Nothobranchius furzeri: one gene and its partners. The protein of the gene in region 3 interacts with the protein of the main gene of each other region in a pairwise test. Links are inferred from orthologs where the notes say so. Each region holds a gene or a part of one and is shown on either strand. Other genes may lie near its edges.

Region 1 (3,999 bases), on a different chromosome or scaffold from region 3:
ATCTCTGGTAACCCTTAGCTACTTTCTGGATAACTGTCATCGACATTTCCTGCAGGTTAGCTAAACAATCCGCCTGCGCTCCGGACCGTTCTTCAGGACTTTAGGAAAGGGAATGATGTAGTGATGTGTTAGTCGCTAAAGACACGGCTCCCAGAGTCGGCTCTGTTGGGTTAACCAGAGTGAGTGACACACTCCGTACCTGCGGGCTCCTGAGCCGCTAAAAACTGCTAAATGTGCGCGTGCGGCGCGCTAAACACACGTGCAGGTTGCTCCTGATTGCTGTGAGACTGGGTTGGGGTGTGTGTGTGCAGCTGTGGTTGGGACAATTATTACATTAACTGATGGACTTGTAAATAAATAGTTTATAAATAAGGTAGAAATAGATAGAAATAAGTTCCTCACACTGATAACTAATCTCTCTGAGGACACGGTGCTAGTGCACGCTCCTACAGCACCTTGACACGACTAAATAAATGCTATGCAACATTTAGTGAACAGCAATTTGCATGTATTTGTTATAAATGCCACTGTATAATTCTTGCTGTCAGTATTTGCAAGATATTGGTATTTGGGTCTGTACTGGTTAGACTTAAATGAGTTAAACCAAGGTTTATAGCCCTTGGGTCATAGACTATGAGCTATAAGTATATTGGTCTTTTTATACTGGGAATCAGGAGTTATTTTAGTGACTGATTGTGCCCTGAGCAGTTTTATGACTGAATAAAAACAAATAAAATCAACATAAATTGAAAAATCATCTTAAATAATCGAGATCTCAATTTCAGTCACAACAATCGTGATTATTATTTTTGCCATAATCGAGCAGCCCTACCTAATACATAGGCATATAAAATGATGCTCTTAAAAAAAAGTTCAGCAAAGGACCCAGTCCATCGTTGACGGTCGATTAATTTGTCCACTCGCCCAGCATAAGAGTGTCTGTGTGACAGGTTGTAAATATGGTGGATGGCCTGTGTCTACACGAGCTCTGGCACTTCACTTGGTGCAAAGAAATCTCTTTTTTTCTTCAACTTGTCAGTTTTTGGTGTTGAAGAAACAAAACAGTTTTTTGGCTTGAAATTTTGCTCTCAAATAAGCTCATAATTCTGCTGGATGTAAACACAAATTAGCCAAACAAACGGTGTCTGGAAGCAAATCTACAGCGAATAAGATATTTACGACTATTATACTGAATTATTTTTCTAAATGTCCCTTAATTAGATTTAGAAAAAGGACATAAATACATCAACAAACAGCACTTTATTAAACATGAAAAGAGCCGCTCCTCTTCTTTGGGCAGCACAGCTTAGAGCCAACAATGAACCCGAAACGCAGTGTCAGTGTGCACCACTGCTCAGAGTTGACCGTTGACCCCATGAGTGTGGGTTCACCTTGTTAAGGGTTTGAGTGCAGCTGTCGGGCAGGCAGAGCGGCACAGTTCGGGCTTCGTCTGAAGAGCGTTTGTCTCTGAGTGCGTGTGGACGGTCGTGGTGCGGTGCAGCTGGCGAAGGGATGACGGGAGGCCGAGCTGGAGTTGATGCAGCTGCTACATTCATGCACGACGGCGACCAGAACTCACCTTCTCCTCTTTAAATTGGGCAAAAACACCACAATGCTGGACGTTTTCCAGAAAACCCAATTAGTTGATTGTTTTTAGTTTGTTTGAGCTACAAACTTGTAGTTTAATTCATCATTTTTGCACAGATTTAACCTGAAGAGTTTAAACTTACAAGCTCTAAGACGGCCCTTATAGTTGATTGAAGAGTTAAAAAAAACACAAATTAGACAACTAACAACTAATTAGATAGTTTATGCTTATTGTTGGAAAATCAAAGACATCAACTGACTGCTGCCAAGGAGCATTGTTGAGTTATATTCACGGCAAAGTGAAGCATCCATTCTGGAAGGCCATGCAATTCAGCATCTAGTATGCAGGAGAGTGGTTGGGACAAAGCGACTTGTTTGTCCATGGCCTTTTAAGTGTGGTCCTTGTTCTCCAGAAATGTGGCTGAACAATTACAATAGTTAAGAGGCATTCAGCTGCAGGTGCATTACTTCCAGTTAGATATTAGCTGATGTCTGAAAGGGGGGAATTAGCAGTATGTTGTATTAGCCTTTTGTAGTGCATTTTGCTCAGACCTTCTTCATTTCCCAGTTTTCAATGCGGAGCAGTGAGGGTCTCTGTGCTCCCATAATGCCCATCACACATGTAAATGGTGTGAAAGGGCTGCTTAGCAAAGTGTTCTCATGTCAATCCTTGTGGAAATGGATACAATGCAAACATTACAGCTGAACTAACCACACGTTCTACCGAGTAAAAAGTCCAGGGGAAGGGCCCCTTTGTCTCCGAGGCCCTTTGAAAAACGCGGGGGCCAGATTCATTTGATTGGGTTCACTTGGCAGGATTAGAGGAGAGGCCTCTTATTATGGATGCCCAAAGGTTTGTTAAGCTGAAATCAATTCATAAGATTTTTTTTTCTTCTCAGTGAGAAGCAGAAATGTGTTTATTGAGGCAACTTCATCACATATTCATGGTTCAATCTAAGTGGTAAATGTACAGATTTAAGTGGCCTTGTCGGGGTGGGGAGGTGCCGAGGACTTTGCTCAGCTGACAGTTTTAATTGCCTAATGGTTTTCTTTTCAGCGTCTCTAAAAACGTGTGCTTTGAGTTTTTTTTTGCCGCTTTGGCCAAACAAAAAACAGAAAGACTAAAATTTCCTGCTGGTGTTTTCAAGTTAATGAGTCCAGCTTTATTGTTTTCATCCAGCCGGATGATGTCGGAGGGAAAATCCGGGAAATAATCCCAGCTGGTTTCACCTCCAGCACGGATGACTTCATCTCGCTGTTGGAGAAGGAGGCCAAGTTCAAGCCCTTCGGCACCCTGCTTCACTCGTACACGATCCACAATGAGGAGGCCGGAGAACTCACCTACCAGATTCACAAGGTACGCGCAAACCACGCTCATAATCTCACCAACTCATCAGAGGAAGACGTAAACGGTTTTATTAAACTGGGCCCAGGCTGACATCACCTGCCCTGGATTCCAAGAGTACCACGAGCGCCTGCAGACCTTCCTCATGTGGTTCATCGAGACCGCCAGCTTCATCGACACAGACGACGATCGTTGGGACTACTTTCTCGTGTGAGTAGCCTCCTTAATTGACACTAACCCCCCAGCTTTACCCTTAAAGCCTTTTATTGTGTCATTGAAAAACAAAGCCCCCCTTTGAGGCGCTTGTGACCAATTACCAGGCCGGTTTGATTATATTTCCCCATGTAGGAGAATTGTTGATCAGGCAAGAGCTTTCTTTGTGCCCAGAGCCCCTTTCAGATTTTTCTGGGGCAAGAGTTGAATTGAATACTGTTGTCTTTTGAAACACTGAACAATGTCCTAACAGTAAAAAGAGCCTCTGCCAGTGTTTTCTTTACCCTGGCACTTATTAATAGTCACAATAGGCAAAATGGACTGAAGTGATGTTGAGGAGCTCAAACCCTCCTCCAAGCCCTTCTCTTCCTCTAAGTTGCAGTACTCCAATTAAGTGCATAATGTATTCATGTTGTAGCAGGTGTACCAATCGGGCCCTGGCTGCTCCTGACGAGGGGGGCACGAGAACAGAGAAGCTAAAACGGACACTGCATGGGAGTGTGCCTGTAATTGACCTGTTTGCCTTTGTGTTTCATCTGCAGATTTGAAAAGTACAATAAAGACGGGGAGACTCTCTACGCAACTGTTGGCTACATGACCGTTTATAATTACTACGTGTACCCAGACAAAACCAGACCACGTGTAAGGTAATTGCTGGGGCAGCACGTGCCTTCCCATTCTTTTGTATAAGAAAAGGAGTGGAAAATTATACATTTCTTTATCCCTTTTCCCCCCAAAAGCCCAAATTACTGGCTTATATAGCCAACCATTGAAGCAGATTTTGTTTCAGAACCAAACCGGGCTGATTTGTATCTGAAAACAACTGTATAGATAAGCCTTTGATGTGATTTGAT
Region 2 (3,999 bases), on a different chromosome or scaffold from region 3:
ATAATCATTGAACCATTTAGGTCACTGAGCAGGAATTAATGGAAATTATTCTAATAATGCAGGTAGACAACACATCTGAGCAGAACTGTCAAGAAAATCCTAATTTTCTTACCTCTATTGTCTATTGTATAGCCTGCCAGAAGGTAAATAGGAAATTAACCTGCACATCTCAAACTGTAAATGAGGTTAGGTGATGGTTCCTCACAAATCTTCTTTAGAGTGGGCTGTTTATTAATCATAATAAATGACAACACTGTGAAATATTTAATTTACCTATTATGGCCTTGGGAAGTACATTTTTGCACTGGAACACATTTGGAGATAAATGAAAGTGCCTCTCTTTCAAGCTTCCTTGTTCTCACACACATATACACACCCTGGCAAGTGTGTTTATCCTCTCCCAGCTCCAGCCCTCTGGGACAGAAGCACTGATAGGAGTCCTGCAGCGAGGAGCAGCCATGGCTACAGCCTCCGTTGTTGACGTGACAACCTGCAGTCTCTGCGAGAGGCAGCACACGATGAAGGGAATTAAATGCATAATGACTCCCTGTTTAATTATCTGTGTGCAGCATCTACCTCTACAGTTGTGTCCATCTTCACCCAGAGTCCGACCCCGCCCACACTCACAATGCCTGGAGCCTTTGGTGTTCACACACACCTCTGCACAGCCGCCATTGTCTTTATCACATTCATTTACATCTGGACACAGGACACAAGCAACGTCTTGTCAGATATGGTCATCAGATGAGTCTGGTTTGAATCCACTGAGCAGCACATGGGAGGAGTTTATCACCTCCAGGCAAGTTCCTTCCATTTTCAGGGTTGAGGGATGATAGATGGACTCCAAAGGACCTTTAAATGAAGTTTATAATACTAAGAGGACTGGTAAGAAAATGATGATGGATGAAATAAGAGTAGGGGGCAAAAGATAGAATGGAGAAAGTGAGGATGAACACCAGAGAAATTAACGTTGATTTATTTTCATTTCATTTTACACCTAAAATGTGTTCACCTTGAAATAGACAAGATCTGAATGCCTTGGCTCAAGTTTGAGCTCACCAGTGAAGAACGTTCCCATAATGCATCTGCCAAACATGCCGATGTCTGCATAATGAGTAAGTCGTAATAGCTCTGAACTTTAAAGAGCAAGTCACCCCTACCAGAATTTTACTCCACTCCCACTTCCTGTTTGAAAAACGTAACAAATGCTGTTGCCTGGTAGATAGAGAGGGTGGAGCCACTAACAAATACACACACACTAAGGCTCGCAACGGCATCGTGACATCATATGTTACCAGCTAATGTCATAGTGTACCTCTTAGCCAATAGCGATGGCAGATTTTAATTCAAATGTAGGGCAGAGTTTTTCAGCTGGGTTCAGCTAGCCGCAGGGCATTTCTGCTTGGACTAAAAAAACACCTGGTGTAGGTTACTGTAGCTTCTCACAACCAATCAGAAGGGGCATCAAAATACGCAATTTTCCCTGCGAACATTTAAATACGTGAGAGGCGTGGAGGGGGTGTGGGGGTGCGCGGACCGTTTCACCCTGTTTACTGACCGTCAGAGTGGGTGGGGGGTGGGGTAGAGGTTTGAATAGTCAGCGTGAGATATTGGAGGTGTGGCGTGAGAGCGTGTGGAGAGTCAAAGGCGTGAGAGTTGGCTGCCCTGCAAACATACCAGAAATTTGGATTTAAAAAGGCATTAAAAGTTAGTCACAAGTAAATATTAGCACATACTGATCATTAGAATTAGCAATAGCATTTTCATCACAGGGCTGCCAACTTTCGAACTTTTAATATGTTCGAGTTTGGGGGGGGGGGGTATTCTTTGATGTGAGATATTGGAGGTGTGACGTGAGAGCGTGTGATGGGGTCAAATGTGTGTGTGGCACGCTCAATGCATAAGAGCTGGCAGCCCTGTATCATCATGAGCTAATGAACTGAAAAAGCACAACTCATTCAGACGACCGTTGTTTAAAGCTTCTCCGGATCACTAAAATATTAACCTGAAATAAAACAGCTGTAGGCTTCCAGGTGAGGAAGGCAGCACAAGGTAGTTTGTTGTGTCGATCACTTCAGCACTGGGTAAATCCTCCTGGGCATGAAAAGTCTGACTTTTAAAACTAAATGGGTCGTAACATGAAGGAAGATGTAATGTTTTTGGGATATCATATCTGTGCCAGCTCATTTGAACCCTTAGTAAAGCCGCTTTCAAAAAGCAACATTAAGTTGGTTTTAACACTTCAAGCTATTGCTTCTAAACTGGTTCCAGTGATTCTTGAGCCATAAACTTGATCAACTTCACATTGCACAGCCCACTGTCGCCCTCTGCTGACCAGAAACTGCACTTAATAGTTTTGTGATTTGGGTAGAAAAACTAGTGGGAGGTTTCTATCTGCTTTATGCCAACAGCTGTTTACTGTGCAGGTAGCTATTACAAAGGCTGGCAGTTAGCTTTTTCAGTTTGGCGAGAAGAAGAATTTTGCTGGGACGGATGGGTGGATAAAAGTAAGAGTACTGACTTTGGAGTTAAAGCAAAGAGCTAAAACCAGAGTGAACATCAGCGTGGCCTACACTCAGTTGAGGGAGCTGGAGGACATTATGAAATCATGGACTGATGGTGACCTGGCTTTGTTGCTACTGGACTTGTAGGCAATAATATGTATGTGTCCAACAGTGTGGATCTTTCTATTTCAGAGCTTATTTACTATCAGTTGGCTCGTGTTAGCATTAACTCATAGTTAGCCCTATAGCTACAGTGGGCTGCGGCAGAGTTGTTGGAAACGTATTAGATGTTACTAAAGTACAAATTTTACACAATTTAATGTTGGGCTTTTGGGGGAAAAACAGTTTGCATGATATTGTTGTTTAAAAAAATAAAAATAAATCAAGTAAAAATGACAATATAAGAAGTCGTATAATTTTCTTTCAAATTTAAGCACTTATGTTTCAACAAAAAGCATCTACAAGAAATTAAAGTGGCCTGTACTTGTATAGCACCTTAGGGTTCTACAACCCCTCAAGTCCCTTTACAACACAATCAGTCATCCACCCATTCACAAAATGGTGAGTTACTATGCAGCCACAGCCGCCCTGGGGCGCACTGACAGAGGTGAGGCCTGCTGAACACTGGCGCCACCAGACCCTTCGACCACGGTCCAAGGCAGGTTAAGTATCTTGCCCAAGAACACAATGGCAGCGTTTTCTGGTCAGAGCTGGGATTGAACCTGCGACTTTCCTATTGTAGACAACCCACTCTACCTCCTGAGCTACTGCTGTCCCAGTTGGCAAACAAAAAAAAACTGCTGCCTCAAAGTGACACGACATGAGATCATGAAGAAGCTTCAATATATAAAATCCAGTCTAAACTACCTAAAAGATAAATCCACCATCACTAATCTTGTGCTTTCTGCAAAGCAGTTAGAAAAATATTACCATGATGTCTCGAACACCATTTTTTCATACGCACATTTGGTTATTATCTAAATGAAAGTGAGTCAAATTTGACTCCTGACAGAAATATAAAAGAAAAAGTAAAGTGCATTTGCACAAAGAATGATATAATTCTGTTACATCAAGTTAACACTAACGGATGTGGATGGGACTTTAAATGCATGATCCTCATGTATTCCCACCCCCACACGCTTGACTCACCCAGACATGTTTGTCTGTCTGGACCCAGGACCGTTCCAGGACCACAGCGGCATTCAGGCACATCGGGACATCTGGGACCCATGCATTCAACCTCATCACAGATGTCGTAGAAATCTGTGCAACACGAAACACACAACATCAGGAAAACAAAACGATAAACCTTATTCTAAAGGTTTGCCTTGAAACTCACGGCCACAGTAAACATGGAAGCAGACAGAGGGTCTGAGCAGGCGGTACACAAAGTATCCTCCAGGACAGGCTTTCACGTCGGCGCTGGTGTTCCACTGGCAGCAGTTGTTGTTGAAAGTGGCACACACGGGCAGGGTGACGGTGCCCTCGTGGAGCT
Region 3 (3,999 bases):
TGGAGGGGCGGATATTCGTTTAAAAAAAACCAGCTACGTGTGGACTAGGCCTCAGTCTAAACTTTAGCTTATTGTTTAAAGGGATATTTTGTAACTTTTTCATATTTTTAAATTATTTTCTTGAGCCAGTATGTGCTAAAATGACCCTTTACAGGGTTAATGAAAAGTCACTCAGAACCCACTGCTCTCTGTAGCTAGGGATGTGTAATGGTGACATTCTGGTGATGCAATACGTATCACGATACAGGGGAGATGATACGATACGATATATATTGCGATGCATTCAGCCAGACGATATTAGCGAATTTTTAAAACTGAATTTATGGTAGGAAAAATCAATAAACAGTCCGAACTGATACTTAACATGTTTAACATGAGGTATCGGAACCATAATAGAGGGAATTACATTTCAATGGGGAAAACAAAACCCATTGCACACTGATGCCAACTAGCAGTCGGTGTTTGAATTGCACCAAAAGAAAAGAAAATACACAAATGTTTGCATGTTAATTCTTCCTAAATTTTGATACAAGGCTTTTAAATATCACAGGATGAAATATCACAATGTATTGCCATTTTGATATTTTCTTACATCCCTAGTGGCCAGGATACCACTCTTTCAACTTCAGAGTGGCAGGCCGCTCTCTTTTGGACTTAGTAAAGTGGAGCTGGCGCGCCTGGCACTGCAGTCTGCTTCCAGCATGTTTCCTGTATGTTTTAGATCATGAACACAGCTGATTTGTTTAATTTAGTGATGAACTGTTCTTGTAAGGCTGGTGAGACATTTCAGCTGTTAAATGAAGAGTTAAAAAGACAAACGCACAGCGAGGAGATAAGTTTTACTTTCGGTTTTTACTAACAAGCACTAGGGGGTGCTAAAAGCAAGCCAAAACTGTTTAGTTTCTCTTTAAACGCCTTCTTTGGAAATTGAAATAAGCTTCAGATTATTCAACAGTATACTGGATCATGTTTTAACTGCTTCAATCCCTGTGTGTCTTTATTTTTGTGATTGGGTGAATCAAAATGTTATAGCATTAGTAGATTTAGCGTTGTAAAAGCTGGCAGATTGTGGGAATCCTATAGGAAACATGTTTACAATCCAAGAAAAGTGAGGTTTTTGGTTTTCATCTATCCTAACTGTCACTGATCTTCCCTACAGGTTTTGTTTTGTTGGCTTCTTGGAAGACCGCACCATTCACAGACCCACTGTGCTGTGGGAGTTTATGTGATTCTGCTGCAATAAAGACTTTCTGTCTGTTCTTTTGTATATTGGTGCAGCTGTTGCAAACATTTCTGCTGCAGAACAATAGCTGGCAGTGGCATCTGTAAACCTAATCTTCAAAAAACAACCATAAAAAGTATTTCTGACTCAAAAGGCTTTTGAGCAAGCGTCTTGGCCTGTCTTTTTATATTGTTTTGCCTGAATGTGTGCGAGGTATCAAACTCTCAGGCAGCACCTGAAACTCCAGAAGCATTTCCAAACTCTTTGTCAATTCTCTATGGTACAAAAATCACTGGCGTGGTGTCAATTACTTTTGAGGTACGGCTTCCAAAGAGGTGTCATAGATCAACCAGCATTACGCCCCCCCCCCCCCCCCCCCCCACCTCCGTCCATTTGTCTCCTGTTATTTATTTCGTCTGCCTGCGTTTGAAAGCGAGCGTCCCACGCTTGGAGACCAATTTGTAGCTGCACAGGTCGCGTGAGAGAGGAAGTGGCCTGCTAGACAGCGCTTCCTCCGGCCCGTCTCCCTGTCGTGACTGCAGGCTGGCCCTGAAAGAATAGACAGGAACATCTGGAATATGATAGTCCTCTGACACCGCCACATCTGGAGCACAATAACCCCTCATAGCAAAGTTGCCAAAACACGGTAGCGAGTGAAAAGTCTCCTCAAAGTTCCGAGGGTGCTTCTGTTTTCCCAACATGGCCTTAATGTGGTAATGGAGGGTTCAGCTACGCCTAAACCCTGGGGGCGGGGGCAACCTGCAGCTCACGGGAACATACTTGTCTTTCAGTGAGGTCGAGGTTGACGGCGATCTCGTAGCGCCGTAGCCGGGTCAGGTAGTTGTGGTGGGCGAACTCAGCCTCCAGCTCTCGGATTTGCTCCTTGGTGAATGCTGTCCGCTCCTTCCTGGGCTTGCTGCTCACGTCTGGCTTGTAATTCCCGTCCTGGGACTCTGAAACCAAACACCACACAGGTTTCTGCTGTGCTCAGGGGCAGATTTATATGCAGCAAAAATAGAAGAATCAAATAAAAAACAAATGAAAAACACCAAGGCAAAGGCTTTGCGGCAGGTGCGGCTGCAAGGGTGAGAAAGAAACGGCAAAGTTAAGAGAAACAATCAGAGCTGTCAGTCACGTTTTATTGTTCAGTCGTTGTTTATGAATACTTTAAGTGGGTGGAAGGACTCATGGGCGGCAGCACATGTGTGTCTGACTGCAGCAGCTGTGTCGGGACAATACGCCGGCTTTTACACGACCAGCATGGATTTAATTTGTCTGAGTTTGAAAAGATATTTGCTGCTTTGACTTCACCAGACGGGGAGCAAAAGTCTCAGAAAAGCTGAAAAATCATCATTTTCTGTCCCTTCCAGCTATTTATCACTGAGTTCCCAAAGTCAGTAAATATATTGGCATCATAAAAGTTATATTTAGATGTGTGTGGAAAGGAAAACAATCCCAGACTAGAGAAAAAGGACTAAAGTCAAGACAAAAACAGATTGTACACTTGCAGGAGAGAAATAACAAATTCCTGCTTCATCACCATCAATCTACAACAATCCAGTTTTCCTCGTGTTTCCAGAACCCCTCCAAAGAAAACACATATGGTTAATTTGCCTTTCAAATGATTCCTGTTAAAAGCAGCTCTTGTGGGCTCTGCTGGACACAATTCAGATGCTCGTGGGACTTAAAGCAGCAGCAATTGTACGGAAACTCATCTGTGGTCCCGTGAATTTTAACTCTGCCAGTCTGCGTCGAACAAAACTGTAAATAGTCCTGCAGCTCTGAGCCAGACACACGTAATGGAGGCCTGCTGGTTCTGTCTTATTGGGCCTGACTTTTCCAGAGCAGCAAAACAACGAGAAGAAGAGACCGAGCTGCTCTACAAAAGTTAGATTTAGAGCAGAAGGCAAGCAAACAGAAGCAGAAACTGCAGGAATTCACATATAAGGGGTAAGAAATGGAAAACGGCCTTTGTTGACCTGCAGCTTGTGTCTGGCTCACCTTTGACCTTGCCCCCCCCTGTATTTTTAAACCAAGTGGCTGACTGAATCACGTCCTCAGACCCACTCCCTCTGGTTCACGCAGACGTGTAAAAAAGAAATAAAAGTATAATGCAGCCAGTCGCTTCAGACCAGGCCTGGAGTTAAAAGGAGCGGCGAGCTTTTATGGCACCGCCGCTCCACCACAGCAATTAGGTCCTCGCCGAAACTTTCATCTCTCCACAAAAAAGGAGGAATAATTTAGGGAGAATACACCCAGACAGGGAGCGCCGCTCAGGGTTCTCTAATGAACTCAAGTTCAACAGGGACCCTCTTGAAAAAAATAAGAGCAAGTGAAAAGAAATATTTGCTTTTTTCAAGAGGTCCTTCACTCATATTTCTTAGTAGAAATGAACGCTTCGTAAGTCATACTCTGGGGGAAAAAAAGCTCCGGTGCGCCTGTTTCAGCATGGATAATTTAGCCAGAGGAGAAAGTAGCTTCAGACGTCAGGAATGACTCCATTCGCTCTGCGACATGGACGTTTTATCGCCACTAATAACACAAGCTGTTTGGAGTTCTGCCATGTGGTGGAGTTGCTAATGCTAACAGTTAGCTTCTACTAGCTGAGACGTTCTCTGCTGTTTCCTGGATGCTAAACCTACAACAGCCGTCCCCGTGGCGATTCAAGATGGGTGAGTCTATGAACGTTAAATGACAGTGTGACGTCTTCTTCTTCAGAGCGACTCTTAGTGCCAGCGAGAAGACTCTGGCACCTCACGCTTGCACTTTTTATAACA
Region 4 (3,999 bases), on a different chromosome or scaffold from region 3:
CCCACAATCTGAGAAAACAAAAATTGAGACTGAGCTTGCGACGTATTTACTTATTCCAGACATTGAGCCAGACACAGATCCTCTTGAATGGTGGAAGCTTCATCAGCCCAACTTTCCAAGACTAAGCTTACTGGCTAAAAAATATCTTTCTGTTCCAGCCACTAGTGCCCCCTCAGAGAGAGTATTTAGTGTAGGTGGAGGAATAGTTACCTGCAACCGGGCCTGCCTTAAGCCAGATGTTGTGGACAGGCTCATCTTTCTTGCAAAAAATGTTTAGAATGAGCATGCACAGTTTTTCAGAGATCTAACAAGCACATATTTTGTTGTTATAAACGTTTACAGATTTGTTCATTCTTTGAGCAGGCTATATGTCTGCCACAGGCTTGTTTCATTTTTGTATTCACACTATACTGAGATTTTTATTTTTTTGGTAATTTTATGTTACAAAATTTTTATTAATGTGTTTTCTTGAACAGAAAATTTAAGCTACTGTGAAGCTGTTGCACTTTTGTTTAAACCTGGGTTAAAGCTTGAAATTGTTGAATGACAGAGCCTCATTTACTTTTTGTTTTGGGATTCTACGCAGTTTAACTCTTGAGGACAATCATAGCAATAAAGTTGCACTTTTGACACTATATCTGATGTCTGCAGCCATTTTTTAAGTGCATTGGGGAAAAAAATCGAAAATCGAATCGAAACTCGAATTTTTCTTCAAAAATCGAAGATTTTTTTGGGGGGCAAAATCGCCCAGCCCTAGCCAGGATTAAAGCCATGAAAACCACACCACTGCGCTTCTGGAATGATGCAGGGAGTAAATGAGCCTTTATGTCAATCGTATTGACTTAATCTACATGAAACTGCATCGCTGCATTTGACTTATTTTGAAAATTACTGGGGATACTTAAACCGTGTGTGATTTCCTGTCTAGCCCTATGTTGACTGTTGAAATTCACGTGTCCAAAAAGCGGCTTGCGGCAAAAACAGATTCTGATCTGTCCTTACAAGAGATTCATTCCTACTAGAGACCACTGGAGCTGTATTAAAACAGAACCTTGCTACAATCAGCATCAACTATAATTTCACCTAAAAAGAGAAAATCCCAAAGAGCAAGAAGCTATGTATATTTTAATTAGGGCTGCCACAAACATTTTAACTATGGACTAATCATGTTTGACGATTAGTCAACAAATGGTGTCACGCATTAAGCATTACTTATTTTACCAGGATGCAGCTGCTATAATATACCCATCATTTCTAGTTTCAAGTATGATCCGTTATGTGCCATCTAAAAATAAAGACAAGATGATAGCTTAACAACAGGGGTCTCATTCCTGTCACCAACATGTTTAAGACTGCCTCATTCAGAACATTAGCTTGCCGAGGTGTGCGTGTTCTTCACTTAGTAGCAAACTTGTCCACTGAAGAAGAGTTCTGTTTTTTAAGACTAACGTAGAGGGACACAATAAATTAGTGTTTGTAACGTTACGTGTGGTAATGAAATAGTCACCACTACTATTATTGCTATGGCTGTTAGAAGCTAACAAGAGGTAATTAGCTTACAGAAGTGACTGTTCCATCTTTTTTAGAGATGGGTACTGAATTCAGTACTTTTAAAAGGCAAAGACTGAATTCCATAGTACCGACCAAGTACTGACTTGTGTCATTTTTTGCCTTTTTTTGATACCCATGCTACGCGCCGGAGCAAGAGCGTAATGTCGTCAGTCACTCTGGGCGAGCTGTGAACAGAGCAGCATGGCAGAGACGAAGCGTTCTGAAGTTTGGGTTCACCTCACTAAATGGGATGGGTAACTGGGTGATGAAACCAGCGACAACGACCTAAGTTAGTATGAGTCATCTTAATCTGCTCCAGCAGCAGAATAAACAGTCCAAGAACGTTAGCTTGATAGTTTGGTTTTTGTTTACATATCTGATGGTGTGTTCGCCATCTCCTTGGAAATTCCAGCTTTAGAGTAGGAAAAATAAACAGTTTGAAAATGAATGGCAAAAGGAATGAAGATACACAGTAAATATGGTTCACAGCAAAGATGTTTACTTCAGTGTAATTAGCAGTTTAAACTACAAGGACCCACCATCACAATTTGTTCAGAGAAGGGAGGAAAAGTACATGAAGCTGGGTTTAGTTTGTCAAACTCCACAATATTAAAATACAAACTGTTGCATGGTATTGAAGTTTGCTTTAGTTTTATTTGTAGTTTATAATGCATGGTCTCCTCATCAGTTATTTTAGAGGGCATAGAACATGATGAGTACATGGAGCTGGGTTTGTTTTTGCATCGTTTAGAAACAGTTAAAGGTTTTGATTTTTAAGACATTTGTACAACACTACGATGACAAAATACAAACTGTTGTCTGTTATGGTATTTATCAAATGTGGTTATTTATTGGGCAAAAAGTATATTTTTAATTTTAAAAGCTATTTAAATAATTATTAAACACTCAAAAGTATCAAAAATTGGTACCATAGATTCAAATGTCAAAGTACCCATCACTAATCTTCCTCCTCTGCCAAGATGAGCTTCCTTTTAAGGTGTTTGTGCATCGCCATTGAGCTCCAGTGAAAGGAGGGTTCTACTTTGCTAATTTTGCGCTGTACATGCTTCTTTAATCTTTGTAAAATGCTCCTAAACTTTTGAGCTACGCTGGCATCTCCCCAAAATCCCGTTTTTCCGATGACGCAGCGGCTGACCCGGACGGCCACTACTGCGTGCGTGCCCCCAGCAGAAACGCAGCAGGCAAGATAAAAAAAGTAACATTTTTTATACAATGTTGCTTATTCAATTTATTGTCGACCATTTTGTTGGTCATCGTGACAAACTGACTCATCGTGGCAGCACTACTTGTAATGGTAATCCAATCTGAACTGTGTAAAGACCCTAGCCTGGCAAGCCAGACTAAATAAATGTATTATTTAGTCTGGCCATGCTCCATTGACGGCTCTCGGTTGTGGGGCGGGTTCTACTGTTGTCTTTCAAATGATCTCCGCATTCCACTGGACAATGAATGTGACATACTCTTGTTTCACTCTGTTGCATCATCCCACCCACCAGGCATATAGAGTGCCCTGATTTGCCCACAAAGCGGATAAAGCTCTGTGATTTGTTCACTAAGCAGATTGAGCACTATGATTGGCCCACCATTATGGACCAATCACAGCTCTTTATGTGTTTGAAACCCCTTTAGAGCTGTGATTGGCTAGCCAGAGTCCTGGTAGGAGCTGCTGAGGTTCCAATGGAGCATGCCTAGACCATTCTTTGCAAAGCAAGAATTTGGTCTAGTTCACTAGGCTATAAAGACCCAACACCACAAATAAAACTCCAAACTTCTTAGACATGAACCAAACATCTGCTGATGAAGACAAGACTCGCGTACCTCAGCAGTTGACTGCAAACTGCGGGCGAACTTGAGCTGATTCACGCCGTGGTGCACTGGTTTGCCGTAGGTCGCCCCCTTGGGAACGGGGCGTTTACGGCCACCTCGACGCACTCGAACACGGTAGATGACATAGCCTGTTGAACACAAAATCTCATCAAGGGCTGCACAAATAAAGATAAACCCTAGACCCAATAAGACCTGGGATCAAAGCTGTTGGTTCACTCCTACAGAAGACAACGAGCAGCTTTCACTAAACCAGGGAATCCTGTGGGCTTTAATAGTACAGATACCGTAAGGATGGTTTCAGTCCAGGTGAGAATCTTTGTGCACCAAACGTGGCTTTACAAAAGACCCTTAAAAAGGTTCATCAAAAAGAAATCTACTAAATATTTTTTTAAATCAAGAAAATTAATGAGCAAACTAGATGTTATGATATGATAGTTTTAAAGAGCAAATTGTTGGTTTAATTTTTTCTAATTTATTCAAAATGCTGTCCAAAAATACTATTTGAAATGCTTATTGTGTATATTTTGTTTTAAAATACATAACAGCAGAGTTTTATAGTAAAAAGTGGCCTTTCTCAGCAAAGCTTCTAAAAAGGCTCGG
Region 5 (4,512 bases), about 60 Mb from region 3:
CTTTGAGAGTCCTCCAGCTTTCTGTCCTCTCAGCTGGAAAAGTGCACTTAGCTATTGTCACAAGAGCAGATCAGTCTGATTACACGGCTGGACTGAATGGAAGTGGGGCTGTTATATTCCACATCGCCGGAGGGTTTTGTTAACTCTGAAAAGCTCATTCTGACAGAGTAAGACTCTTGTAGTCAAACTTGCTTTACTACTCCCGAGTGTTTTAACATGCGGACTATAAAGGAACATGGTGATTGTCACGTAGAAATAAACATGCTAACGAGCCACATAACAGGGAATAACAACATTCAGCTGAAGGAGAATGTATTCTGATGAGACAAACCTCCAGGGACGGTTGTTGAGGGCGGGCCAGTGGTCGATTATCCCTTCTAAAATCACCGGCTTGAGAGGAACCAAGTACTTTGTATTGAAGCTTTCCAGAGAAGGACACTTAATCCTCTCCACCGCCAACTCTTCTTTGATTGGAGGAACACGTGGGACCACAATCTTCATTCTCTGGTAATGACGACAGAAATAAATGGGGGGGGGGGGGGTCATTTTCAGTCTAATAATAAAAATGACCTAGTTTTAAACTTTTAGGGTCTTTATGAGGGTGTGTTGACTTCCTTTACCAAATATAAAAGTTCAATTTGTTTCAAACGGACACTTGGCGAAACAAAAAGGAAACATATGAACATACAACTGTTATTAATAACATGTTTGTGACATTTTAAAGACCAGATTAAAACAGCCGGTATAGAAAAATGATAAATAGCCATCACAGCCCTGCTTTGTAAAGAATTACTCACAGATTCTTTGGATGCTTCAACAGTTTTAGGTTGACATTTTCAGGGCACAGACTAAAAATGTATAATCAAGTAAAAAAACAAACAAAAAAAAAAAAAACAGAAGCAGCAGCCAACCCCCGTCTAAACAAAGTGATCTGACCTTTGAGAATGTGTGGCACTTCATCTTCAGTGACATCTGATGAGGTGCACCCAGATGAAGGGCAAGAAGGGAGATACTTTTTATAAAAAATAACTTTTCTACAGTCTATTCCACAACATCAGCCTTGAACTTTTGATTATAATGTAAATCAAGAGTTTCACAACAACACCACATAAAACACGTTCCTCTAACTTACTTGAACATTTGCTAATTTAAAGGATAAAATAAATTGGCCAGCTGACCTTGGCTTCAACATAGTCCGTTTCTTCTTTAGTGGTTTTTCTTATTTCACTTTGCAGAATCCGAACAAAAACCTGGAGTATATTATCCATGACGGCCGCGCCCATGAGTAAACCCATGTCACACGTCCTGACAGCCTGAAGGATCTCGTGCTCTGATGGACTTTCTCGACATAAAGCGGCCACTTTAAACAGGCAGCCATAGGAGTAAAGTCGCCTCCAGTCCTTGTCCACATCACGCCATGTTCCGGTGTTGAGTCTCTCCCATGAAATGTCCAAAACGACTTGAGCATAAAGAGTTTGGTTGTTGCTTCTTGTGGTGCTGTACAGTTGGTGTCTGGATCTCGTCAGCATTTCCACCACACTCGACTCCACTTTGTCACTGAACTGCAGAGGGAACTGTTCCTCATTAATCGGTAGAGCAGCTGAGAGTTTTGACCACAAGGATTCCATTGACAACTAGGTCCTCCTGTATTCTGTAGAATGAAGAAACAAGAAGTGCCAAAGCATCGCAAAATGTTAGAATGCAGTGTTAAGCTAAAGTTGTAGCTAAACTGTATGGAAAGTCTAACTTGGATTAAAGCCAACACTTTTCAGAGGTATGGGCTGGAATGTAATCACATGCATGCTTGGCTGCATGCTGGGCTCATCAGTGGCCCAATCTGCAATCCCTACCCACCACCACACACATACACTGGATTCTTGTTTATTTCATTAATGAAAAATCTCTCTCTGCTGCATGAAAACAGAAGTCTGCTCCTAATTTCCAAACTGGCAGACACAGGTGAGGACATCCTGAGCCAGAACTGGTCGTGTGACACATGCACAATGACGGCGCTCTCTGGAAGTGCCAGCCCTGTCTTTGTGTGACTCCATCCATGTTTGGATGCTGCTCTGTGATGCTGGAGGTGCTGCCAAGGCTTGAGGCAGCCAACTTTGTGCACCTGACTCTTTTGAAAATAGAAAATCCCAACCACGTGAACGCAAATGCATGCTAGATTGTTCCAAAATTAAGATTTTTTTTAGTTAATATATCACATGTCTAAAGGGTGGTGCAGCCCTGCAGCAGTTCCCAGAGACAGAAATGCCAATAGATGAAACACTCGAGCCAAACAGAAAAAGAGGAAAACATTAACATAGAGCTGGCATTTAAAAATTACACAAAATATTTCTGAAATTCCTCTGGTAAACAAAAGTTACCTTCATCTTTTAAACAAAATGTTAAACAACTGCAGACATGTAGACACAATTCGCTTTGAGCTCTTTAAAAGGCTTTTGTTGCCAAATCTCCCTGACTTTAAGACAAGTATATTACGTAATCAATTAAAAACTTTTTAATGTGACCAAACTTCTACTCAAAAAACTCAAATCTCCTTAAAGGTAAAACAACTTTTTACAATCAGCTAACGCGTTGTGAACGTTGTAATGCATTTATACTTTTTTTAAACAATGTTGCAAATATAAAAAGCCACTTTAGTTTATTTTGAAGGCGCCGCACCTTAAAATAAACCCCAGCTTAAAATCAGAACAGTTGTTTAGTAAAAAGCAAAGTAAAAACGACTATTTACCTGTTTTGTCTTTATTTACATCGCTAGCCACGCTAACACGGCTGCAGCTAGCGGTGGGACAACAAAAACACACCGGAAGGGAACCGGAGCTGCAGGAAATATCAGTTCCACTTTTTAGTAGGTGTTGTCAAAACTGTGAAATGGCTCCAAAAATAGGGATGATTAATCATAAAATCCAGTTTTATCACAAACCGAAGAGTTTCAATGATCATGGTATGTTAAGTCTTTGATTTTGACACAGAAAAAGCATTAATTCACCGTCTGGTCCAGCAGAGGGTACTGTAAGTGGAAATCCAAGCTGGACTGCTACAAACTGAAATCACACACTTGTTTTTCATGTGTGGGCAGTTTCCTACTATCTATACACTCTCCCACATCACACTCCCACACACTCACATTTGTCCACATCTTAGTCTTGTTGCAGCTCAGAAGTTCGTTCATCTCTCCTCTGAGCTCTCTGTTATTAAACCGGTTGAAGCTGAGCAAAATGAGTTTAACAAAGCCTCATTTAAATACACGTCAAGTCATCTACATCTGTTTCAACAACAGGTGGACCAGATTGTCTGATCCCTGTGCTGCGTTGAGAAAACTCTTGTCATGATAAATGATGGCAGAACTGACATTGTCCGTCCCCCCCCCCTCTCTCTCTCTCTCTCTCTCTCGCTCTCTCTCCTTTCATAGCTCCTGCTGTTCATGATTGTATGTTGTGTAAATACACCTATCCCTAGAGGGCTTACTGATTTGTGTCTGCTCACATGAAGCTAAAACAATAATCTGGTTTGTCTTTTTGATGTCACATTCGGGTTTCTGGGTTTTTCATCTCTCTCTCTCTCTCTCTCTCTCTCTCTCTCTCTCTCTCTCTCTCTCTCTCTCTCTCTCTCTCTCTCTCTCTCTCTCTTCTTTTGCAGGGAGCTGGCCTGAACAAACACGACAGGAAAGGAAAACCTTCAGCAGTGGAAGTGTGGAATCTCTAAACTCTCAGCACTATTATCAAATGTCAAACATTCTGTGAAATTCAAATAATCTCAGTGGAAAGCGCAGAGCTGTTCTTGTATGTAAAGCAGACGGGGCTGAGTGACGTGCTGCCTTTCCTGGAATCACAGGGGATTTTAAGATGTTTCAAGCATCTCTGTTCACTCTGACTGTGTAAACAGCAGAATCCTTGTGGCTCAGTCTATTGTTCACTTACTTCCATGAAGGTGGGAAATGCCTATGTGATGGCGAAAAAAGCTGTGTGATTGATTTTTTTTATGCTTTTGCAACTGCTAATGGAATGGGGAAATGAATCTGGTCATGAATGTAGTAGAAATGCAGATAAACAGCATGTAATATCAGCTAAATGACATCAAATTAAGAGGCAATCTTTGCACACCCTCACAGGACTCCGGCCCCTAAAGACAACATTGGATTCTTGTGCTAGAACTGTTTTTATTGTTTGAGGACACTTGATTGGAATCTAAAATAAGTAAAAACTGTTATTTGGGGGCGGGGGGTGTCAATATTTAAAAGAACTTTTAAACTACCAAATGAATGTGCTGGTCTAACGAGTGAATTTCCCCACTGTGGGATTTATGAAGTCTATTCTGTTTTATTTAAATGTTCCAAAGCAACACGTGCTTTTCCACATTTATGACATCCTACAAATCCAAACTAGCTAGAAGGAAAATGAATGAAATTCATACCAAACACAAGCTGGGGTTCCAGGAGGATTTGTAAGAAATATGTAAGACAGCCTCAGAGCCAGGTCGCTGCCTGTATTTGTAATGTAC
Region 6 (2,963 bases), on a different chromosome or scaffold from region 3:
AAACATCTGTACTGCAGGCTGCAGACATTTAAACAGAGGCAGTACATTCATGTTTGACTACCTGCTGAAAACAAACATATAAAAGGAACCAAGCTAATTAAATTTAAAAAAAATCTAAATTTAATCCAAGAAGCTAATGGAGCTGTCAGCTGCTGCATAGTTCAAACCTTACACTGTCGCTCCTGCACACAGGACGGTAAAGTGCTCATGAACAGAAACCGAACAGATTCACCTGGATGAAGGTTTCTGTTCAGATACATCAGACATGATCTCAGCTCAGGTTAGAAAATCCCCTCGGCCAGTGATCATCACTACGCAGGGTTTAGATTTTTCTTTTTAATGGCACGTTTTTGCACTTCAAGGTCAGACAATACAGAATGTGTCGCTGCAGGTCAAAACGTATTCTTGATCTGCATGCAAGCAAATAAATAAATGGAAAGAAATGTTACACGCTTGCACATCTAGAGATGCGCTGAAGTTTGATTCGGACTTATTTAATACTCTTGACCTACTCATGTCATCTCAAACATCTACAGCTTTCAATAGCACAAAAGTGACAAATAAGGAGAAATTAAGTCTCTTTTTTACTTTAAAAACCTCGTTTACTTCAACTTTTACCTCTTTTCTCAACATATACATTTTAAAGATACGTAATTTTGAGTTTTTGCAAAAACATTCTTGAAAATCCCCTCATTCAGTGCATCTCTAGACACAACAGTTCCCAAAAATCAAAACTGCTGAAAAATCCTAGACACATTCAAACTCCTCTACCTGATTAAAAAAAAAAAAAAAAAGACTGATATACAGTACCTGCACAAAAATAAACTATTGTTTTTGCATTCGTAGTATGCCGTGTTAGTGAAAGCCACATTTGAGTTTGAATCCCTCTCACTGCCACAGATGCACTTGGCTACTTTTGAATAAAGCCCTATGTAGACAGAAGTGCACACCCTGTGTGTGTAACCCACTTGTAAACGTGTATCAGTGCAAGATTTGCCTGAAGGTGACCACAAACGCTGGTAAAGCAAACACTAAATAGCAGAATACAAACAAGCTGCTCTTAAAGAGCCCATGAGTGGAGGCTTAGATGGGCTTGTAAAGCAGAGAAGTGACGTATTTCTTTTTATATCTGTGAGTAGCACTCAGCACCATGACTCCATCCTACACAAACAAAAATAATGAGATTTAAGAATTTATATCAGAAAACGATGCAATATTTCACGTTCTACCTGCCACGTCTGAACAACGTGAGGCAGACTTCAGCTTCCAGTGCACCTACCTTTATGGAAAGAGCATAAAGGTGATTTAACATCACGTGGTTGGGTTCAGGCAGCAGGGCAGGGTCACACTAGAGCAGGGTGAAAGGAAATATGATCAGTGGCAAATTTAGAAAGGACATTGAAAGTATTCAGCTAGAATTCAAAGTAGACCGATGATGATGGAGACACTGACAGATACATTAGTGTCCTTGTTGAGAATGACTTGAAGCAGGTGAGGAGGGAGAATCGGAGGGGCTTTGAAGTGCTCCTCGGGTCTAAAGATGTACTGCTCCTGTCCGTACGGGCCTGGAGGGGAGCTGGACAGATCTAGAACAAAACAGTTCACACTTTGACTGATGACACCCTGCTAACCCAAATAAGGAGTCACAGCGGATCTCACCTGATGTGTCGGAGCACTCCAGAGAGTCGACCTGCAGAGCGTCAAACACCTCAAAGTCTGACTTCTTCACCTGGATCAGGTTGTTAATGGTGCCGAGTTGACTCGTTACCACCGGCTGCAAGACAAAACAACGACCCAGTTGGTGATGATCAACACAAACTGCATGAGTGGAAGCAGGTCCTGATGAGCATGTGAACAATTTTGCAGGAAAATACCAAACATGGGCTTCCTTTCACTTATCATATATGATGTAATGGTGGCTTTTGTGACTCCGGCAAATAAAATAATAAAATAATGAGTCAAAAAAAGCAATAATTTTTATTTTTAATGGAGAGCAGGGTGAAATGTTGTGGATTTAGTTGCAGAAGGAGACCGACGTACTTTAATGAATCCTGTTTACCTGTTTTAGCGACTATTTTGTTGTATTTATTTTCACATTTACTCGCTCGACCGAGGAGATAAAAAAAAAGCTAGACTTGCTGTTTCCCAGCACATCATTTAAACCAGGCTGAAGGCTCCCGCTATGATCCAGCGGAGAAGCTGCATTCACAATCTGACAGTTAAACATAGTTGTTTTATGACGTGTTCGACTCCAGGCTGTGCATCAGCCAGCAGGCGATTGCTGCTATCGATTTTCCCAGCAGCTCATTCATCTTGTCAGCGTGGGATGAGACAACAAACCTCAAATGCTCTGGCGAATCATCTCATGGTTAAAGTGGCTCCTCGTCTCAACAGCAAGTCAATTTTCCTTCCACTTAAATTATTCATACCGTACTCTCTTTTATTACTCACCAACTTTACCTTTCAGATGGTGTGAGAGGAAAAGACGTGAATCCTGTTACACAATAAAATCAGTGATTTTTGGTTTCAGATCACTGATGAGAGTGAAGTTCCTTTTACTTCAGGAACCTACCCATCTCTATTTTTAGTTTCTGCTTTGTATCTGGTTTAAGCTGCACTACATTGTTCGGAGCCACCTCTGCAAACTTTCCAGTTAATGGTCTACAGGCTGTTATTTACTCTGACTGGGGGTTGGTGTCTCCACACCGAACTGATGCCGAGCACAAATAAATCTGTCGTGTCTTTTGTTAAAAACAAGAAGCAAACGAACTAACAGGAAAATGGAAAACGGCCTGTATTTTATATAGCGCCTTCTAGAGTCCTGGGACCCCCCCCAAGGTGCTTTACAACACAGTCATTCACCCATTCACACACACATTCACACGCTGGTGGGGATGAGCTATGATGTAGCCACAGCTGCCCTGGGGCGCGCTGACAGAGGCGAGGCTGCCGAGCACTGGCGC
Region 7 (4,694 bases), on a different chromosome or scaffold from region 3:
TGTGTGAAATTATTATTTAACTTAGCTTTTTGGTTTTTTTTGGGGGGGGGGGGGGGCACTGAACTTTAATTCTTTAACACGACAAAGCAAAAATAACGTTAAAACAATGAGTTTATTTTTCCTAACTCAGCACATGTAGAGTGAACTTCTTTTGGCTGATATAAAAATAAACACTGGTCAACCAGAATAGATGAAAGGAAAGGCATTTGTCCTGCTGGACCTTAAGTATTTTTAGCACAAACTAAGCTCTGTGTGCTGTGGAGAGGGGCTGCTGGACACAAGTCAGTGCTCCTGTACACGCATACCAAAACCACAAGTCAATGCTACTATTTTAATAAGGCTATGATCTGAAAGCAGAGGCAATTGATCCGCATGCCTGATGATCACAAGTCCCATTTGTGCTCTTGGTACAGACATTATTCCTCTTTTCTGAGTGATAAAAACCCACAGAGGACCACCTTCTTCGTTGAAATGCATTTATGGCTACCCACTATCACTGTCTGAGCTCAGCTCTACTCCACACTCAGTCGTACATCTGGCACTTGACTCTTTGACATTCAGTGCATGAAGGAGGGGGTGTTTATGCATATGAGAGTGTGTGCATGTGCTTGACTATAGCTGTAATTTAAAGGCTGAACCAAGCAATAAACTAAATTGCCACCTTGAGGAGTAGCAGCACTCATCTGAAGGCCTAACAAGCCGAGGCAAGAAAGTGTGCAAACTCATGCATGCGTGCAGCTACTTCTATTACCTTCTGTCTTACAGCAGCTCCAGTGTTATTCAGTCGTGTGAAGGTAGAACAACCCAGAGAGCATTACTGGAAAGTTCTGTGTTAGAGATCTCAAGCCCCAGGTGTTTACACAACAAACACACACTGGACATATTTTACACTACACCTTAACCTTTAGACACTTGAGCATATGACGATTTCTAAAAACATAACATATGAGCAAAAAATGAATGTATTCTCCTGGTAAATCAGAAAAAAATGTTAGTGTTGAGTGGGAAGAAACAAAAATGTGATATTACAGTTTGAACTGTGTTACATAAAGTTAACTGAGATAAAGTCATTTAAATAAACATCAAAGCTTCTTTGTTCCTCTGAAGAAAAAAACATACATTTTTAAGTGCACTAGTGTGGACAAAAAATAAATAAACTGGTTGGTGTTACATAACTGAATCAAGTGCTGCGTATGACCGCTTTTATAGACCGCAGCAGTTTGCTAGCATGAGGAGAGGCAGTGATTGTGCAACATCAGCACGGCCCCTTTGGCCAGCTGCTGTGACAGAGCTGCTACAGGTCTGCAGCAGTCTGAAGCCTGAATAGAGTCTGAGCAGCAACTCCTGCATTTGCATCTGATGCAGACTTCAAGCAGATTTCAGCCGGCGGACTACACACCGCGGAGGGTTCTGAACTTCACAAAACTTTGCGCTTCGAGGATTAGAACAGTCAATAAAACACACCACTAGCGTTACTCCTTTATTTTTTAACGTTTTATTCATAGTTTTAAATCGTATTTTAATTCAGGTTGGAGTTATTTAAATAACATTTGCTTGAGTAGGTGCAGACGGACTAGTTGGTCTTGCGGAGCAGCACTAAATCCACAGCACCAAAGAATACCGGTGCACAATCCGCCGTTTACCTCCTCGAGCCAGGGTAAACGAGTTCGCTAAAACTGAGAAGTTTGGCCCTGGGATGCTCCTGTGTAGCTCTAGATAAAAAACAATAACTTTTTAGCGAAGACTTGCTCTCTTCGTCACTGCGTAGACCGCCACAAAGGTAGTCGTTTTCGTATAACGTCCAGAAGAAAAAAAACCCAGCAGACTTCTCGAGACAGGACGGACTTGACTGAACTCAAGATGTCAATTTTGCCTTTCACTCCCCCCATCGTCAAAAGACTTTTGGGCTGGAAGAAGGGAGAGCAGAACGGCCAGGAGGAGAAGTGGTGCGAAAAGGCGGTGAAAAGTCTAGTGAAGAAGCTGAAGAAGACGGGACAGCTGGATGAACTGGAGAAAGCCATCACCACGCAGAATATCAACACAAAATGCATCACCATACCGAGGTAAGGAGAGCTAGCAGGTTGGTTTGATGCTGACCGTAAAGTTAGCATCTCACGCGCTGTTTTATCCGTTTATTACAGCTTTATAACAAATTATACCAATCTGCCACTGCTTTTACTGTCTATTGCACGTTAAAGGCACCACTTCTTGTGTGAGAAGCAAATATTTCCAGATATTTTCTCGCGTTAATATTTCAAACTCAGTTATTTAGCGTTTATTAAACATCAAAGTTTTAGCTAAGGAAACAGTTCACCAGCTAATCTGTAAATTACGGCTCAAATGTATTATTGTCTGTTATCTATGTGTCATCATATTGCTATTTTGCACTTCAAGTGAATTGAAACAACTCCTAGCAGCTTGGTATGACCCAGATTATGTTGTCAAAAACACGTTTTAAGCATAACGAGCCAATAGCACACATGCAATGTGCACTGGTAGTTATATAACTTGGCCTTAATCTGGAACGTTTTCTAGCGTTGTTAGTGCGTAGGCGAGTCTAGATGGGCTCTCTATCTTCTCTCAATGCCTCTATACAGACATATATCAGCATTTTTATTTAATACAAGTAAATCCACTGCAGGTTACTATGTGTAACAGGTGCTTTCATAGCGTGGGCAGAATTGGAGGCAATGCAACAGCAAACACGAGAAAATATGTAAAAAAAAAACGCAAATAAAGGTGTTTATCATTTGACAAAATATATTAGAGACAAAAATGCTCTCATGGGATGAAAAGTTAACATTTAACACTCTAAATTAATTAATTCAAACGATCTCCTTGGAACAGTAAATAATTCAGCTGTGTTTGGTTTTCAGTGGTCAGATGAATAAATTATGAATAGTGGTTTGGCTTATTGATTTCATTTTTTTTCTCTGCAAGGAGGAGGGAAACATAGCTGTCAGCTGGATTAATAAATGCCATTTTTAGCTCTGACAATTCTAAAGGCTGTATTATTTAACCATCAGTGTGTGCACTTTGGGATGAAACAGTGCTTCACGATTACTGATGGCAACTTTTTCATTAGGTAACAAGTTGGTATTCACTGAACCAAGCAGGAGTAATGTGCAAACGGCCAAGAAGCAAACCGCTAATGAAAAATGCTTAAAAATTTTAAAAGATTTTACCATCTTAAGGTGGCAACGTGTAGTTTCCTGGTGCCAGGGGGCAGTACATACATTTCAGGGTAGTTTTACACCATATTGCTGTGACTGTCGCTAGTTAAAAAAAAAAAACATTACCGTAAATGTTGTTACCTGTGGAACAGAAAGCATGCAACCTTGGCGTGTCTCCTCAAACTTTGATTGTTCTTCAGGTATTTCCATAGAGAGAATGCAATGCAGATGCTAATTTTCTGGTGCTGTACTTTCCAGAGCTGCTCAGGGGTCCTGCGCTTGCCAATGATGTAGTGGTGGGCAGTATAAACTATATAAGGTAGAAACGATATAAAATTGGGTAATGATAGAGTTTTTGGCTCTATCATGGTAACACATGGTGTCAATAAATGTGCACTCTCCCTGACATTGGGACAACAGAATGGCAGTGACTGCAAGTATGGAGAGGGCAGAGGAGGAGGAGCATTCTACTTTTTGGACGTCTTTATTCTGCTGCAATATATTTGCCAAATGTGGATTTTTAAAAGCATGTCATTTTGACATATATTAACAGAGGAAAAAATACATCGCAATAAATATTGTTATTGCACATGCTTCAGATTATATCAGAATATATATTTTAGGCCATATTGCCCAGCCCTACGTCATCATACTACGAAAATACCGTTCAGCCAAATATATATTGCATCTCTTTTTCAATTCTGTTCTCTCACATAGGTTTTGGAAAAAGTTTAGCAGTTTTGTTATTAAATTATTGTTTCTCACTGCCAAGATATTTTTGAATGTGGTAACGTAACTTCTGTAGGTTGTACGCTTAGCCAATCATCTAGTGTGATATCATCGACAGGCACAAGCTTGCGAGCCCTCCAGAAGGAAACTTGGCATCTAATATGGCGTCCTCCAAAGATTTTTGACCTGCACACAATGCAGTTTACACTCAATTTTTATGGTTATATGGTACAATGCTGCCAATATTTTTCAACAACTGGACATCATTTAATTTATTTTCAACATTGTTTTGATGGATATTTACAGAGATTAATGGTATAAACTACACATTGCCTCTTTAAAGTAACTGATAATTGTATTTATTGTTGTTTGTAGCATCCTTTCTTTATATTTGTTAATCTGAGGGAGTTATTAATCTAGTTTTGACTTTTGTTCCAAGCAGTCACTTGATTTATTGCCAGCAAATTGGACACATTATACATTAGTCAAAATGATTATGAACTGTATCTGTAAATCAAAGTATTCTAAACATCAGAATCACTTTTAACTCCTCTGCACGTGTGATCTTGTAACTAATTTATTCTGGCCCCGCATCATCACAAGTTCAGCTTTTTTTTTTTTTTTTTTGTGCTGGCGCTGCTGTAATAAGTGAATTTCCCTACTGTGGGATCCACAAAGTCTATTCTATTCTATTTATTCACAGTGATTCTTCACAACTATTTCATATTGTTAGACCTTCAGTCTATTTTCTTGTGTTTTTTAATTATTGGTAAATAAGAAGCCCAAATCTTT

What was found.
Region 1: the proteins of meox2a (region 3) and hat1 interact in binary tests that used the Homo sapiens proteins (3 or more experiments, as listed by UniProt). The two-hybrid records come from large-scale screens. The link is inferred for Nothobranchius furzeri from reciprocal best matches to the Homo sapiens genes MEOX2 and HAT1.
Region 2: the proteins of meox2a (region 3) and oit3 interact in binary tests that used the Homo sapiens proteins (3 or more experiments, as listed by UniProt). The two-hybrid records come from large-scale screens. The link is inferred for Nothobranchius furzeri from reciprocal best matches to the Homo sapiens genes MEOX2 and OIT3.
Region 4: the proteins of meox2a (region 3) and rpl15 interact in binary tests that used the Homo sapiens proteins (3 or more experiments, as listed by UniProt). The two-hybrid records come from large-scale screens. The link is inferred for Nothobranchius furzeri from reciprocal best matches to the Homo sapiens genes MEOX2 and RPL15.
Region 5: the proteins of meox2a (region 3) and kdm8 interact in a two-hybrid assay, tested with the Homo sapiens proteins (2 studies listed by BioGRID). The two-hybrid records come from large-scale screens. The link is inferred for Nothobranchius furzeri from reciprocal best matches to the Homo sapiens genes MEOX2 and KDM8.
Region 6: the proteins of meox2a (region 3) and prkab2 interact in binary tests that used the Homo sapiens proteins (3 or more experiments, as listed by UniProt). The link is inferred for Nothobranchius furzeri from reciprocal best matches to the Homo sapiens genes MEOX2 and PRKAB2.
Region 7: the proteins of meox2a (region 3) and smad3a interact in binary tests that used the Homo sapiens proteins (3 or more experiments, as listed by UniProt). The two-hybrid records come from large-scale screens. The link is inferred for Nothobranchius furzeri from reciprocal best matches to the Homo sapiens genes MEOX2 and SMAD3.

Annotation. Positions count from the first base shown.
Region 1 is NC_091754.1:20,781,607-20,785,605, forward strand, and holds part of hat1 (histone acetyltransferase type B catalytic subunit), read left to right. Parts: intron 1-2,767; coding exon 2,768-2,944; intron 2,945-3,020; coding exon 3,021-3,142; intron 3,143-3,687; coding exon 3,688-3,792; intron 3,793-3,999. UniProt on the Homo sapiens protein: Histone acetyltransferase that plays a role in different biological processes including cell cycle progression, glucose metabolism, histone production or DNA damage repair. Coordinates histone production and acetylation via H4 promoter binding.
Region 2 is NC_091752.1:15,863,797-15,867,795, reverse strand, and holds part of oit3 (oncoprotein-induced transcript 3 protein), read right to left. Parts: coding exon 3,844-3,999; intron 3,768-3,843; coding exon 3,654-3,767; intron 700-3,653; coding exon 577-699; intron 500-576; coding exon 377-499; intron 1-376.
Region 3 is NC_091745.1:64,687,436-64,691,434, forward strand, and holds part of meox2a (homeobox protein MOX-2), read right to left. Parts: intron 2,176-3,999; coding exon 2,003-2,175; intron 1-2,002. UniProt on the Homo sapiens protein: Mesodermal transcription factor that plays a key role in somitogenesis and somitogenesis and limb muscle differentiation. Required during limb development for normal appendicular muscle formation and for the normal regulation of myogenic genes.
Region 4 is NC_091751.1:25,420,215-25,424,213, forward strand, and holds part of rpl15 (large ribosomal subunit protein eL15), read right to left. Parts: intron 3,528-3,999; coding exon 3,391-3,527; intron 636-3,390; exon of another isoform or gene 278-635; coding exon of another isoform or gene 1-277. Other genes in the region: E3 SUMO-protein ligase ZBED1-like, read left to right, coding at 1-277.
Region 5 is NC_091745.1:4,851,078-4,855,589, reverse strand, and holds the start of kdm8 (lysine-specific demethylase 8), read right to left. Parts: upstream 2,875-4,512; 5' UTR 2,744-2,874; intron 1,652-2,743; 5' UTR 1,629-1,651; coding exon 1,179-1,628; intron 973-1,178; coding exon 937-972; intron 505-936; coding exon 332-504; intron 1-331. UniProt on the Homo sapiens protein: Bifunctional enzyme that acts both as an endopeptidase and 2-oxoglutarate-dependent monooxygenase.
Region 6 is NC_091751.1:56,448,467-56,451,429, reverse strand, and holds the end of prkab2 (5'-AMP-activated protein kinase subunit beta-2), read right to left. Parts: intron 1,775-2,963; coding exon 1,660-1,774; intron 1,587-1,659; coding exon 1,453-1,586; intron 1,349-1,452; coding exon 1,280-1,348; intron 1,162-1,279; coding exon 1,084-1,161; 3' UTR 662-1,083; downstream 1-661. UniProt on the Homo sapiens protein: Non-catalytic subunit of AMP-activated protein kinase (AMPK), an energy sensor protein kinase that plays a key role in regulating cellular energy metabolism.
Region 7 is NC_091749.1:43,501,845-43,506,538, forward strand, and holds the start of smad3a (mothers against decapentaplegic homolog 3a), read left to right. Parts: upstream 1-1,634; 5' UTR 1,635-1,860; coding exon 1,861-2,063; intron 2,064-4,694. UniProt on the Homo sapiens protein: Receptor-regulated SMAD (R-SMAD) that is an intracellular signal transducer and transcriptional modulator activated by TGF-beta (transforming growth factor) and activin type 1 receptor kinases.